Drosophila melanogaster: one gene and its partner. The protein of the gene in region 1 interacts with the protein of each later gene in a biochemical or structural test. Each region holds a gene or a part of one and is shown in the gene's direction. Other genes may lie near its edges.

What was found. Proteins that work in one complex are often made in the same cells at the same time.
Region 2: the proteins of Afti (region 1) and AP-1gamma form a complex in vitro, tested with the Drosophila melanogaster proteins (one study listed by BioGRID).

Annotation. Positions count from the first base shown.
Region 1 is NT_033777.3:14,320,650-14,328,427, reverse strand, and holds Afti (aftiphilin), read left to right. Parts: upstream 1-1,738; 5' UTR 1,739-2,146; coding exon 2,147-2,291; intron 2,292-2,349; coding exon 2,350-3,671; intron 3,672-3,729; coding exon 3,730-3,868; intron 3,869-4,178; coding exon 4,179-4,556; intron 4,557-5,140; coding exon 5,141-6,642; 3' UTR 6,643-7,351; downstream 7,352-7,778. Other genes in the region: spn-B (spindle B), read right to left, coding at 1-102, 163-217; ATPsynE (ATP synthase, subunit E), read right to left, coding at 892-1,137.
Region 2 is NC_004354.4:9,106,988-9,111,691, forward strand, and holds the start of AP-1gamma (adaptor protein complex 1, gamma subunit), read left to right. Parts: upstream 1-1,703; 5' UTR 1,704-1,943; coding exon 1,944-1,999; intron 2,000-2,562; exon of another isoform or gene 2,563-3,000; intron 3,001-3,630; exon of another isoform or gene 3,631-4,001; coding exon of another isoform or gene 4,002-4,018; intron 4,019-4,094; coding exon 4,095-4,156; intron 4,157-4,399; coding exon 4,400-4,541; intron 4,542-4,610; coding exon 4,611-4,704. Other genes in the region: Arfrp1 (ADP-ribosylation factor related protein 1), read left to right, coding at 158-250, 318-570, 689-945.

The DNA of each region.
Region 1 (7,778 bases):
CCGGAGTGCATTTTCGCACGATTGTGTGCAGCGATTGCTGGCGGGTGTCCAGGAATCGCACCTTGGGAGTTGTCAGCACCTCCTCCGGTGCGAGAACATTAACTGGAGTACAGGAATTTAGTTGGCTCTTGAATAAAGTTGTTGGAACCCCAAAACTCTTACCCTGCTCGGCGATTTCTCTGATATGCTTGGGCAATTGATCCAGAAAGTTTGTCATCGCGATGCGATGGCATGTCCTCGATGGGATTGCGTGATATAATGGCTCCCCGAAACACGAAAGGTGTCTCAACACCTCCGGAATTGGAAGTATTCCGGGGGATTATTGATCAAACAGCCGAGCCATGCGACGACTTGCGAGCGAATTGAAAGTGTAAATAAACGCCGGTTGAAATCAGCTGTTGGCGCCAATATCTTAAGTGGGCCAATCAGCTGGCAACTACAGTGGGCATCCAATAAGGTAAACTATCAGTTGTTGTTTATCAAAAAAGATTTAAAACAAAATTTAGGAAAATTATTGATAATCAATTTGCAAAAATATTTATATGTACTTCCTAGTCAAATTTGGAGCTCAAACCCTCTCAAATTCTCTCAATCCTCTCCTATCCAAACACTATGCTAATATAAATATATTTCCAGTGAACACCACTTAATCACAAACACGAAACACTTGAGAGTATTTACATAATGGTTTTGTTTCAATCATTTAATTTCGAACATTCTGTTTTTTGCACAAGCATCAGAGGAAAACACAAAAACGATAGTCAGTGATCGATAGATGGTGGCTCCACTATCGATGATGCTCCTCCTTTTGGGCGAACTTCGTGTGTAAATGTTGTGGTTTTTCAATGTTTTTAAGCTAAGGGAACTGCGGATGTTGCATCCTGAAGGATCCTAGTGCTTGGGAGTGGGCTTCGAAAGCTCAGCCAAGGCACGGGCCTCAGCCTCTGCGCTGCGCTTCTTCTCCTCGGCGAGCTTGGCATCACGGACGGCCTTCTGCTGTGCCTCGATCTCGCGCAACTTCTCCTCCTTCTTGGACAGGCGGCTCTGGTGGGCGGCGCCGTAGGCAATGCCCACCAGGAGCAGGGACCATCTGCCGAACTTGATCAGCGGGGAAACGCGAACGGGAGCCTGCGACATGGTTTCTTCTTCAAGTTATGTAATTGTCCGACCGTGAACTGCAAGAAAAGGATGTACTTTAGTTATCCGACTTCCTTAATAGCGTTCCCCGTCTCGCTCCACTTTACAGATTCCTGGTTTTCCTAGTTTTATGCAATATTTGATGTTAAATAAGCAAAATTACCAAATTGGTGGAGCGATTGCAACGGCAGCGCAGTATAACCTTAAAACAGCTGTCAAAACTGACAGGCGGCTATCGATAGTTGTATTGGTACGGTGGCGGCGTTGCCAGCAAGCTTAAAAAAGTATGCAGAAATTGTGGAAAATATCATAACAATTTAAAAGAAGCCTTTATGACGACTATTTGTTGTTTAGTGTCCCAACAAAATTTGACGTATTACATACTGCAGCCTAGACTTTCATGTATATTTTACTCTTGTTACTAATAATTTTCAAATACAATTTTAACGGTAAAAGAATTGGAAAGAATAAAAATCTATTATAGAAATATAACTAATATAACTATTCTATCTGAACTATGGATAATGATTTAAATCGAAAATGGGAATTGAAAAAGATAAGATTCAAATTTTGTATGTTATCAATGTTGCGCAACGTTTTTCAGCACTGTCGGTTGGCCAAAAGTTAAACGTTCACACTGTGGGCAGAGGAAAAAGTATTGTTTTCTGGAAAACATGGCTAATTGCAGATAAAACGCGACTTGCAAATTCGGCAAATCTGTTTTTAGAGCCACCAATAAGGCGACAATTAGACATAATACAGAGACACAACAAAATTGACGCGTGTTAAATGCAAACAAGAAAATTCCAACACAGACCTTGAGTGGCTAACACACACACACACACTTGCAGGCCCTCCACACCTGCGTCACACATACACACCACACACACAGTGATAAAGTGGAGCGAGAGAGATAGAAGATCGAACCGTTCCCAGCGTTTTTGTTGTTCTTCTTGAAGCAGGAAGTGAATTTTAGGGGATCCTTTTACTGAATTTTGCAGCTGGCATTATGGTGAATGTACCACCGCTGCTCTGCAGCACCCCCCCGCCCATCGATTTTGGTGAGGAAGACGACGATTCCGGTTTACAATCCACCATCCATTTGGACGAGGGTGACGAATACTCAGATTTTGGCTTAGTCAGCAGCTCGAAAGGCAAGCTTAGATATTTATCGAATCTCAAAGTGATACTCAGTTAATTCTCGCTTTTTAGAACCCCCTCCACCACCAGATCCCGTGGAGGAATTTCGAGAAAAGCCACCTGATTTGCTGGAAGACAAACAAACCGTCGAGGCATTTAATTACCAGGTGAAACAGAAGATGGATTACGATGTTTTCGAGGAAACAGCACCGCCGACGCCGCCTCCGTTGAGCTTGGAACTGGATGATGAGGAACTGGAGGAGCATGTGCCCTCCCTTAAGTTGGACAGTCTAAGTCTCTATTCCACGGAAAGCGTTTCTGCCGCCTCCACACTCTCACCGGTTGCGGAGACTAGTGCAGTTGCTCCGCCGGCTATGCAAACAACCAAAGCCCATATCCTCAGCCACCAAGTCACGCTGGAGGATGTGTCCGATGACAGCGACGAGGAGTGCTCGCCAAAGAAGCCCAAAGAACTATTTATACGCGAGGGAGCTGTGGATTTCTTTGCCATAGAGGTATTGGCCACTCCAACCCTACCATATGGAGAAGGCTTTTCGGAGGAGAATGTGGATACAGGGAAAGGAGAATACGTAGAGAATACCTCCCAGCCAGAAGAAAGCTTTAGAAGTTTGGAAGCCCAGGAGGAAAGTTCAAATACCTTAGAAAAGCCTATGGAAAATCAAAGCCGTGGCTTATCAAATCCTCCAAATCAGGAGGAATCCCCTCACCAATGGGGTGAACCAGCAAATAGTGATACATATTCATTTACAAATCTTGATGCGACGCCAAAAGACTTAGTACACAAAGAAATTGTTCCCGAAATGCAAGAGCAAGAAGATGATGATGACTTCGGTGACTTTGCGGATTTCTCAGCAGCAGAACCCCAACTAGAAATCACGGAGAATTCAACGTCTGCCTTTGAGACACCTTCCTTAGCAATCAATTCCCGAACGGAATCTCAACCTCTAGAGGTTAAGACGGCTCCTAGCACAGAAGAATCCTCTAAGTTACCTCCTGCAGAGACCGATGATGGCTTCGATGATTTTCAGGAGTTTGCCACTCCTGCGAATGGAAACCACGGTCAAAGCGAAGACGACGATGATTTTGGCGACTTCGCCGCGCCCGTAGTGACTCCTGTTTCTGTACCTCCGCCACCGCCGCCAGCTGCTGTCCATCTGAGCATAGATGAAAGGGTTAAGCCAGTCCTTGATATGATGTTTCCACAACCAACGGAACTGGACAGCAAAAGTATGGACAATCGCAGGCCTTTGGCTCAGTGCCAGCGATTCAATTTTGGTGCCATAGAGCATGCCCAAGCCCTTGATTACCAATGGAGCAGCTCGGAAATGAGACACGCCCTTGTTCGATCGCTGGGCATCGATTCAAGGAATATAGTAAGTTAGATAGGGCTTCAAAATGTATTTCAAATAACTGAAATTCATAAACTTCCAGCTCTTCGGCGACAAGTGGAACTCATCGATGCCACGTTTTGCTGCCAACCTGAGCTTTGATCCGCTGAAGCCGCTGAAACCTCAATCAACCGGCGCCGCAAGCAGCCTGGAGCCCATTTCCAATTCCACCAGCTACCAGGGTGAGTGTCCTTAGAGTCTCTGCGAGATTGCTCCACTTAGTTGCCGCAAATTAACCGCTACACAAGTTTCGTAAATCGAGAAATTGCCACCCTATCGCCTAACGCTCGCTTTACTTTCAAACGCTTTTCGTTGCCTATTTCCCGATCCTATTGACACACGCTTCCCGGATTGGCCTGCCGTTCGATTGGCTGCTCCTTTCTATATATTCTTATTGATTTTCGTTTGCCTTGTTTTTCCTTGTGACCACATTACTTCTAACTATCTCAACAAACAATCAAAAAGTTTATCCTTACGATAAATTGTATTTAGAATCACATGTACAGACATTACAATTGGAACAACTAGACCAACTAACGGTGGTGGCTAATGCTGATAAAATAAATCTTGTTACCTCTAACTCCCACACCAATAACAACAACGATAATGGTGATAACGACGTTGCTGCACCCGTTGATCAACTGGATTGTATGCCACCTGTGATGGATTTGATGACCCATAACGATCACAATTTGACAATCGATTTGCACCACTCTCCATCACTCACACATTTTGCCACCATCTGCAACAACAATAATAACGATAATAACAATCCCAACAATCTTAACAACAATCATGCAAAAAATACTGCAACAATGACAATAACAATTAACACAAACCTCACTGCTCACGACGCCTTGCTGGATTTTAGTAAGTTTCGTTGGCTCTGTGCGTGTGTTGTAGTTGAATCTCCACTCTTTTTTGGTTCGTTCAGTTCAGTTTCGATTCTCTATATACTTCTCAGCTCTATCTCTCTATCTACCCGTACCGTCCTACCGATCCACAGTTCCCCCAGTTCTTGTTACTTTGGCACAACGCATCCAATCTCAGCCAGCTCAGTTCTAGCACAAGTAGTTGAAGCCCGCCCAAGAGTTCCCTTCATTTTCACATTTTACTTAGCTAGATACAGTTGATCATACTAATACCTAAATATTGTCTCTAAACTAAGCCATCATCTGATGTGTTGCTAAATCTGGTAACTAAAAGTAATGCTTGAAATGTAACCATTTTCTGATTTCTTTGATTCTATAAAAGATACAATGTATCTAGTAAAATAAAATGATTAATGCAAGATTAGTATCCATATCCATTCCATATCTTTCATAAGCACAGTGTTTTTTTAGTTATCTGCAACATAACAGATGATTATAGCCGAATAACTAATTAATTATCTTTGTTTATCTCATAGTTTTCATTCATGACAGCCAAGTAATTGTTTTCTTTCCTTCGCACAGGATTGGAAAACGCCGCCGCAACAACGGCGAGCCAAACTGAAACGCGGACTGGCCCGTCTCATGGGGAAGGCTCCACCGGCTCCTGTTCCGCCAGCAATTCCGACGGCGAAGAGCGACCGAGTCATAGCCACCAGCCAACTGCAGTCCCCAGCCCCGAATCGAACCATATTGAATCCACAGCAGCGGCATCAGCAGCAGCTGTTGCTGCAGCAGCAGCGACGCTACCGACTACTCTATCAGCAGACAGCCCTGCCCACAAACTCAACGGCGGTGAGCAGCTGCATCAGCAGCGGTCGGAGCCGGAGCAGTTTGATTTGAGGACCACTCCTCCGGCCGCAGCGCCAGCTCAGGAGGAGATCGTGGGCAGCTCGATGGCCAGCTATTCGGTGCCGCTGAAGGAGACCCATATCTATACGCCCTCCAAATCGGATACGGCGGTGGCCAAGACCACCACACTAGCGCCCATTGATTTCGACTACGAGATGGCTGCGACGGGCATTATCATCGATGAGACGGTGGTGAAGAAGGAGTATCGCGACGTGGAGTACAAACCCCCATTTGGTCTGGATTCGCCCAGCAAACTGAGTGGCAATGGAGCTGCCAGCAGCTTTCAGTTGCCACCACAGACGACGGAAGATGACGACTTTAGTGATTTTCAATCTATGCCGGCGCCAAGGTCTCGAATTGATACACCCACTTTTGGCGAACAGATGATCCTTAGTCCGGCTATTCTGCTGCCCCAAGCCATTCCGCTGGCAAAGAAGCCAGCTGCAACTATTGAATGGGGCGACAATGCTCTGTCTAGCATAAATGCCGAGGAAATGGCCAGGATAGAGGAGTTGTTCTCCTCGCAGGCCAAACCGCTCACCATAAGCGCTTCGGTGGCCAAGAAACCAGCTCCTTCCACGCCAGCTCAGTCTCAGCCTCAAGAAGACGATGAATGGTCGGACTTTGTCTCTGTTCCAGTCACCCAACAGCAACCGCATCATCAGCAAAACGCAATTGCTAACAACAATAATATAGTCAACAGCAACGCTAGGAAACCAGCTGCTCCCAAAGAAGATGATTGGTCGGATTTTGTGAGCAGTACTCCGCCAGCACGACCGGCTCCACAATTCAATTCCGGTGCGTGGCAGAGCGCTAATTTCTACAACAATCCCTTGAGTTTGTACCAGGCGCAGCAGCAGCTGCAGCAACAGCCTCATAGCAATCTAGTGCCCAAGGGCAGCACCAGCAGCAGCAATAACAACAATGTGCCAGCCATTCCACAGCAAATACACATCATGCACGACTTCTCGACTGCACCCGTGTCTGGAGGATTGGGTGTGGGTGCCACCTACCAGCAGCAGCATCAGCGGCAGCAGTTCCAAATCGGCAACGCCAAGGTGGCTCCACGCATCTCCCTGATCCCCGATCTCAGCTTCGTTGCACCGGCCTTGCCCACAAATGCTGGTGCGTTCATGGGTGCGCTACCGAAACCCACTTTCGGTGGCAAGAAATGACACAAGAAGCTGAGGGTGGGCGGTGGGCGGCTCCAGCAGCAGCAGCAGCGTCCGCATGTGGGCGCTCCTCGCCCACTGGGTGGCGGCGAGGCCACCATCCTCACATAGGCGAAAGGATCGATCGCGCACCCGGGTAGCCAGTCAGTATTATGAATCCGTCTGATATTCACCATAATCCGAACCGTCACACATTGTAGTTTTGAGGCAAGCTGTGTTCCATGTTGTTGTCGTTGTTGTTAACCTTGTCGTTGGCATAATTGTTGTTGTTGTTGTGCATGCATGTTGTAGTCTTAGGCGTAAAAATCAGGATTTAGAACGAAACAAACAAGTAACCATTTTGTGCTATAGTTTGATTCTAAATTTATGTTTTACTTAATTTGACGAAAAAAATTATACTTTTGAAAAATAATATTTTGTAGAGCGAAAAAACTGTTAGTATGCTTGAAAAATTCTTTGTTTTTATCTAATATTATTTAAATGATCGGATATACTTTTAGAATTCGAATTATTGGGTAAATAAGTCAAAAAACTCTAGAAGAATTGTAAAGTAAAACGAAAAAGAATACCGCACACCAGTGAAATTATGTAATTTAAGGGATATTTCTGAAATCCTGCGAGATTTTAAGGTTTAAGCTTATGCATCCGATAGCATGCAATATCTCTATGCGGTCATATCAATATAACAACATAAGATTTATCATAGATGACCAAAAAAGAAAAGATACAAATTAATAACAAGGATTTCGGAAGTATCCCAAGTAAGGAAAAAATCGGCATTACTTTTAAAAATGTAAAACTATTAGTTCCATGATGATTTTAGCTTTAATCAACCCCAAAGTTAGAACCCTAAATCGGAAAACTCCGCCTATCTGAGGAATATCATCAGTTAATCCCTGCGGCAAAGCCTACAAATGCATTCCACTAGCGGCGAACTTCCCCTTTTGTATATCCATAACAAATACTCCAATGCGATTGCGGGCCACCACCACCACATGGATGAAAACCCAACCCGCCTGATGCGAATTTTTTCTATATTGTGTACTTATAACAAGCGACAGGAAAGCGAACTAACCAAGCAAACATAGTTAACGTGTTGTATATGAAATAGGATTTGTTAGTTGATAGAAGAACTCCCA
Region 2 (4,704 bases), on another chromosome or scaffold:
AAATATAATTTATAGACATCCCCCTAATAATTAGATAGATATAAGTGACACTTGCCCGATCGATACTATCGCATCGCCCTAGCCGCTGGCAGTGCCATCGCTAGCAGTTCAGTCAACAATTTAAGTTTTTGTTTTTGTTGGCCAAAAACACAATACAATGTACACATTGATGCACGGCTTCTACAAATACATGACTCAGAAGGACGACTACTGCGTGGTAATCCTGGGCCTGGACAATGCTGGCAAAACGGTAGGCAGCTGAATCATCCAATGAAAGCCTCATGTCCAATCGGAAACTAACACCTGTGCCCACGTAGACTTACCTGGAGGCCGCCAAGACCACGTTTACGCGTAACTATAAGGGCCTCAATCCGAGCAAGATCACGACGACGGTGGGCCTCAACATCGGCACCATCGACGTGCAGGGCGTACGCCTCAACTTCTGGGATCTTGGTGGCCAGCAGGAGCTGCAATCTCTCTGGGATAAGTACTACCAGGAGTCGCATGGCGTCATCTACGTGATTGATTCCAACGACAGGGAGCGCATGGAAGAGTCCAAAGCGATATTTGGTAAGCGAAAACAGTCTTCGAACTAATCCCTTGAACAAAACTCGTTTTGATCTATTCTGATGATCTCTGGTAAAAGGAAAAAGGTTCACCTAAAATGTGTTATTCTCTTTCCCCACAGACAAGATGATCAAGAACGAACTGCTGTCCGGAGTGCCTTTGCTAATCCTGGCCAACAAACAGGATCTGCCGGATGTGATGGGCGTGCGGGAGATCAAGCCAGTTTTCCAGCAGGCGGGTGCTTTAATCGGGCGGCGAGATTGCCTCACCATTCCCGTATCCGCGCTGCACGGCGAGGGCGTGGACGAGGGCATTAAGTGGCTGGTGGAGGCCATCAAACGACATGCGGTGGTGCGGCCGCCGCGGGAAAACGATTAGAAGATCAAGCAGAAGACATCTGGGCCTGGTAGTCGGCCCTCCACTGGCTTTAATTAGACATGTACTTTTGTAAGTTAGGGGCTTAGGATAACGCTTATTTGTAATTAGCCAGACGAGATTGCGAGATACCAATTGTAAAGATGCGTTGTCATTATTTGCAAAGACCTTTCTTTTCGGTTAACTACTGCTGAGAAAATGAGGAAAACAATGTTAGAAAGCTGTGAGACTTCTGCATAGGACAACGAATTACAAATACTATTGTTAGAATAACAAAGAACGCAATGCTTATTAGCCAATTAAGTGCAAGAACTATAAATTCAGAAGTACTTGAAGATGTATTTGAAGAAGTACTTTGTTCTGTTAATAACCCAGATACATGGGTATTTGGATGCCAAAAATGTAATAAAACTGAATCCATTCGCAGCTGTTATGGTTAATCGTTAGCCACAAAGTGTGTGGGCGATTCGAGGTCCACCAAAATCGGGAGAGTCGCTTCTTTATCTAACAGCACTGCACTCGTAGTACACCTCGATATGGCGGTTGTCAATGGGGCTCCGCTTATCCGAACCGAACGACACCGAACCGCGGAAAGAAACAACCAGCAAACAGACGGGATTGTGGTGTTCTCACGGCGGGGGGAGCATTATTATTACCATTATCAGTCCGATAGATAAGTGCTGTGTGTGCCACCAAAAAGCAAAGGCGGAGGAAAATGAAAATGAACTAAAAACAACACCTGGTGAGTGGCACTGGAATCGTCAGTCTTCCGCAGGAGTTTCCACCGCTCGGACTGGAAATGATCGGCCGCCAGCAAGGGCTAGATAGCTAGACCTCGAGCCAGAGCTAGAGAAAAGAAGAGCGTTACCTGTTAATTATTAGTGTACATTAGATAAGGCCTATGTGAAGCACTCGCCGCTTATCGCTGCCATTCCCATACCCGAACGCGCTCCCGCTCCCATTCCATTCGGTTTAGTTCCGTGCTCCAGTGAGAAGCCACCATGTATCCGTATTACGAGCAGGACTGGAGCGTTCTGCCGCCGGAGAACAATCGCAGGTGAGATGAAATCCCGCCCGGTGCTCGTTCATACCCTTAAAGATTCGCCAGTCGATCTTTAGAAAATGAGACTTTTGAAAGTGTTTTTCAAAAATGACGTTATCGCAGTGTGACCGTCCATTGACCGCTCTGCATAGCGGTATTTTTTTTTTATTTGTGCTGTGGTGTGGCAAAAGAAAATCGTTGAATCACCCTGTGTAAATGCAATTTATTGTCCCCCTATTATCTCTTTTATTTTGGTAAAACTGCCCCTTCTCTACTGGCATTCCATGTGAGTTGTTGCGGTTCGAATGCAATGCCATGGAAATATAATTAAGTGCATCTTTTACTTTGATAAGGCAATCAAATTAACTGAACGAATATTAAACTCAAACTGTTACTTATCTCTCAGATAAACACAATTAATTTGTAATGATTTATGCCTCAGTCTTGATATTTTCCGTATAACTATTTGTTTGGTTGATAAATCATTGAATACCTACCCACTGTGCCATCAAATGCGCTAACGCCTATCAGCGCGAGGCGTTAATGCCTTTTGCGCACACTGCTTGTAAATATCGCGCTCTCGCTCGCACCCACTACCACTGTTGCGCTCATCATCAACATATTCTCGACGAAACATTTTTTTTTACTTGTTACGTTGATTTTGTGGCGTTTAAAATAGCGATTAACCAGCGCCAAGTTGGCCCAGCGAACATGTGCTAAAGCGTAAATGCAGTGCTAGAATAGGCATTTATTCAATTGCAGAATCATTCCAGTTAAAAGCGAAGGTGTGTGCGTGTACTTGCGACGACGGGCCGTGTGTGTTGAAATTTTTTTTTTAGTTTTTGTCGCGTTGTTAAATTTTATAGTTGAAAAAAGCTAACGTGTTTCCTGATTATTCATTAACAAAAAAAACGTAACGCCGCCAAGTGCGCGAATGCATCCAATTTGTTAAAACGGAAATGCCCGTTGAAAAGTGTGCCATAGATTTTCCTGCCCTTTTCTTGTTGGCCCAAAAGGCATGCATGAGTGTATATATGTGTGTGTGTGCGTGAGCAAGTGTGTGTAGGCCTTCCAGCGAATCGCATAAATTAGCAGGCGAAAAATCACATTGAAAACAAACGAGGAAAGCTCGCAAGAAAAAAACCCTACGTGTTAAATATATACTATAGGGTATATAGGAGTGACGTTATTTCATGACTTTTTAATGCAATCGATATGTATGTATGTATGTCAGTTATGCTATCGCTGGCAGCTGTTTTCGTTTTTTGCCCAGTTCACTTAATAAAATATTAAGTGGACATCAGTAAACAAGTTGGATTTTTCGGGCTTACTGCTTCTCCTTTTCCAATTGGAAACCCTTTGCGCGCGTATGAATGTCTCTATTAATGTGTGTGCGTGTGTGTGCATTAATCATTTAATCAATTTGCATTGCGCTCCAAACTAAAGTGAATAAAGCACAGTAATTTGTTGTTGCCTTGGCCAGAAAGAGAGATCAAACGTATTTGTTTGAGCCAACTCACACACACCCACACCCATGCACGCATCTGAGATGTCAGTTTCATAACAACAGCGATCTACTTTATGTCAGCGGTAATTGTACCTGCTTTTATTTAAACTATTCAGCTTATTTTTTCCAATTCCATTAGCTTGGAAAGAGAGCAAGCGAGAGAAGGATAGAGAGTAGGAGAGCAAGTGCAACAAAATAGCGGCCGGCTGTTATTCCCTGTGTGTGTGTGTGCGCGCGTGTGTGTGCGTTTGTGTGGGAGTGCAGGTGTGTGTGCGCGGAAGATCTGCAGAGGAAAAACCGTTATTTCGTTTCGCTAATTTGTGTTGTTGCCCCGCCGCAACAGCAACAAAAAGAAAACAGAAGAGCACATAAGCCGGCAAATAGTTAACAAAACCAGACGTAATAGAATATAATAATAATAACAAAAATATAAATAAAAATACGAACCAGTAAAAGAAGGAGCAAAAAAAAGGCTGCCACACAAGTGATTCAACGTTTCTCGTCGCCACAATGAACTCCGAGCATGGGTAGGATCCTAAACAGCAGTGCAAACATCCCTAGAATTATGCCCATATAAACCCATTTAACCTCTTCCTCCGGCAGATTTAATCCAGCCTTCAATATGGCCACCATACGGCAAGCATTCACAGAGGCGGTGGAGAGAGGTAAGTCCAAGACAGTGAACACCACTTGGTAGATTGCTCCAATAAGAAGATGATCGTGTGCTTGTGATCACCCAAAAGGTGGCTACAAGTACGCTGCACTCCTTATTCATTCAGATATATAGTTATAGTTCTATTAATGACCTGAAACGAAGGATACAGGCAGGGGTTAAGAGAGAAAGATCAGCGGCCAGACAGACAAAAACCCGATTAATTAACATATTCACATCCACTTCTCGCCCACAGTCAGAATGCCTACGCCCACACGCCTGCGCGACCTCATCCGACAGATTCGCGCCGCCAGAACCGCCGCCGAGGAGCGGGCGGTGGTCAACAAAGAGTGCGCCTACATACGGAGCACGTTCCGCGAGGAGGACTCCGTCTGGCGGTGAGTCATCTACACCCGGTTGCAATATACATATGTATATACTATATATATATATATATTCGCCCACAGCTGTCGCAACATTGCCAAGCTGCTGTACATACACATGCTCGGCTATCCGGCTCACTTTGGCCAACTGGAGTGCCTTAAGCTGACGGCCAGCACG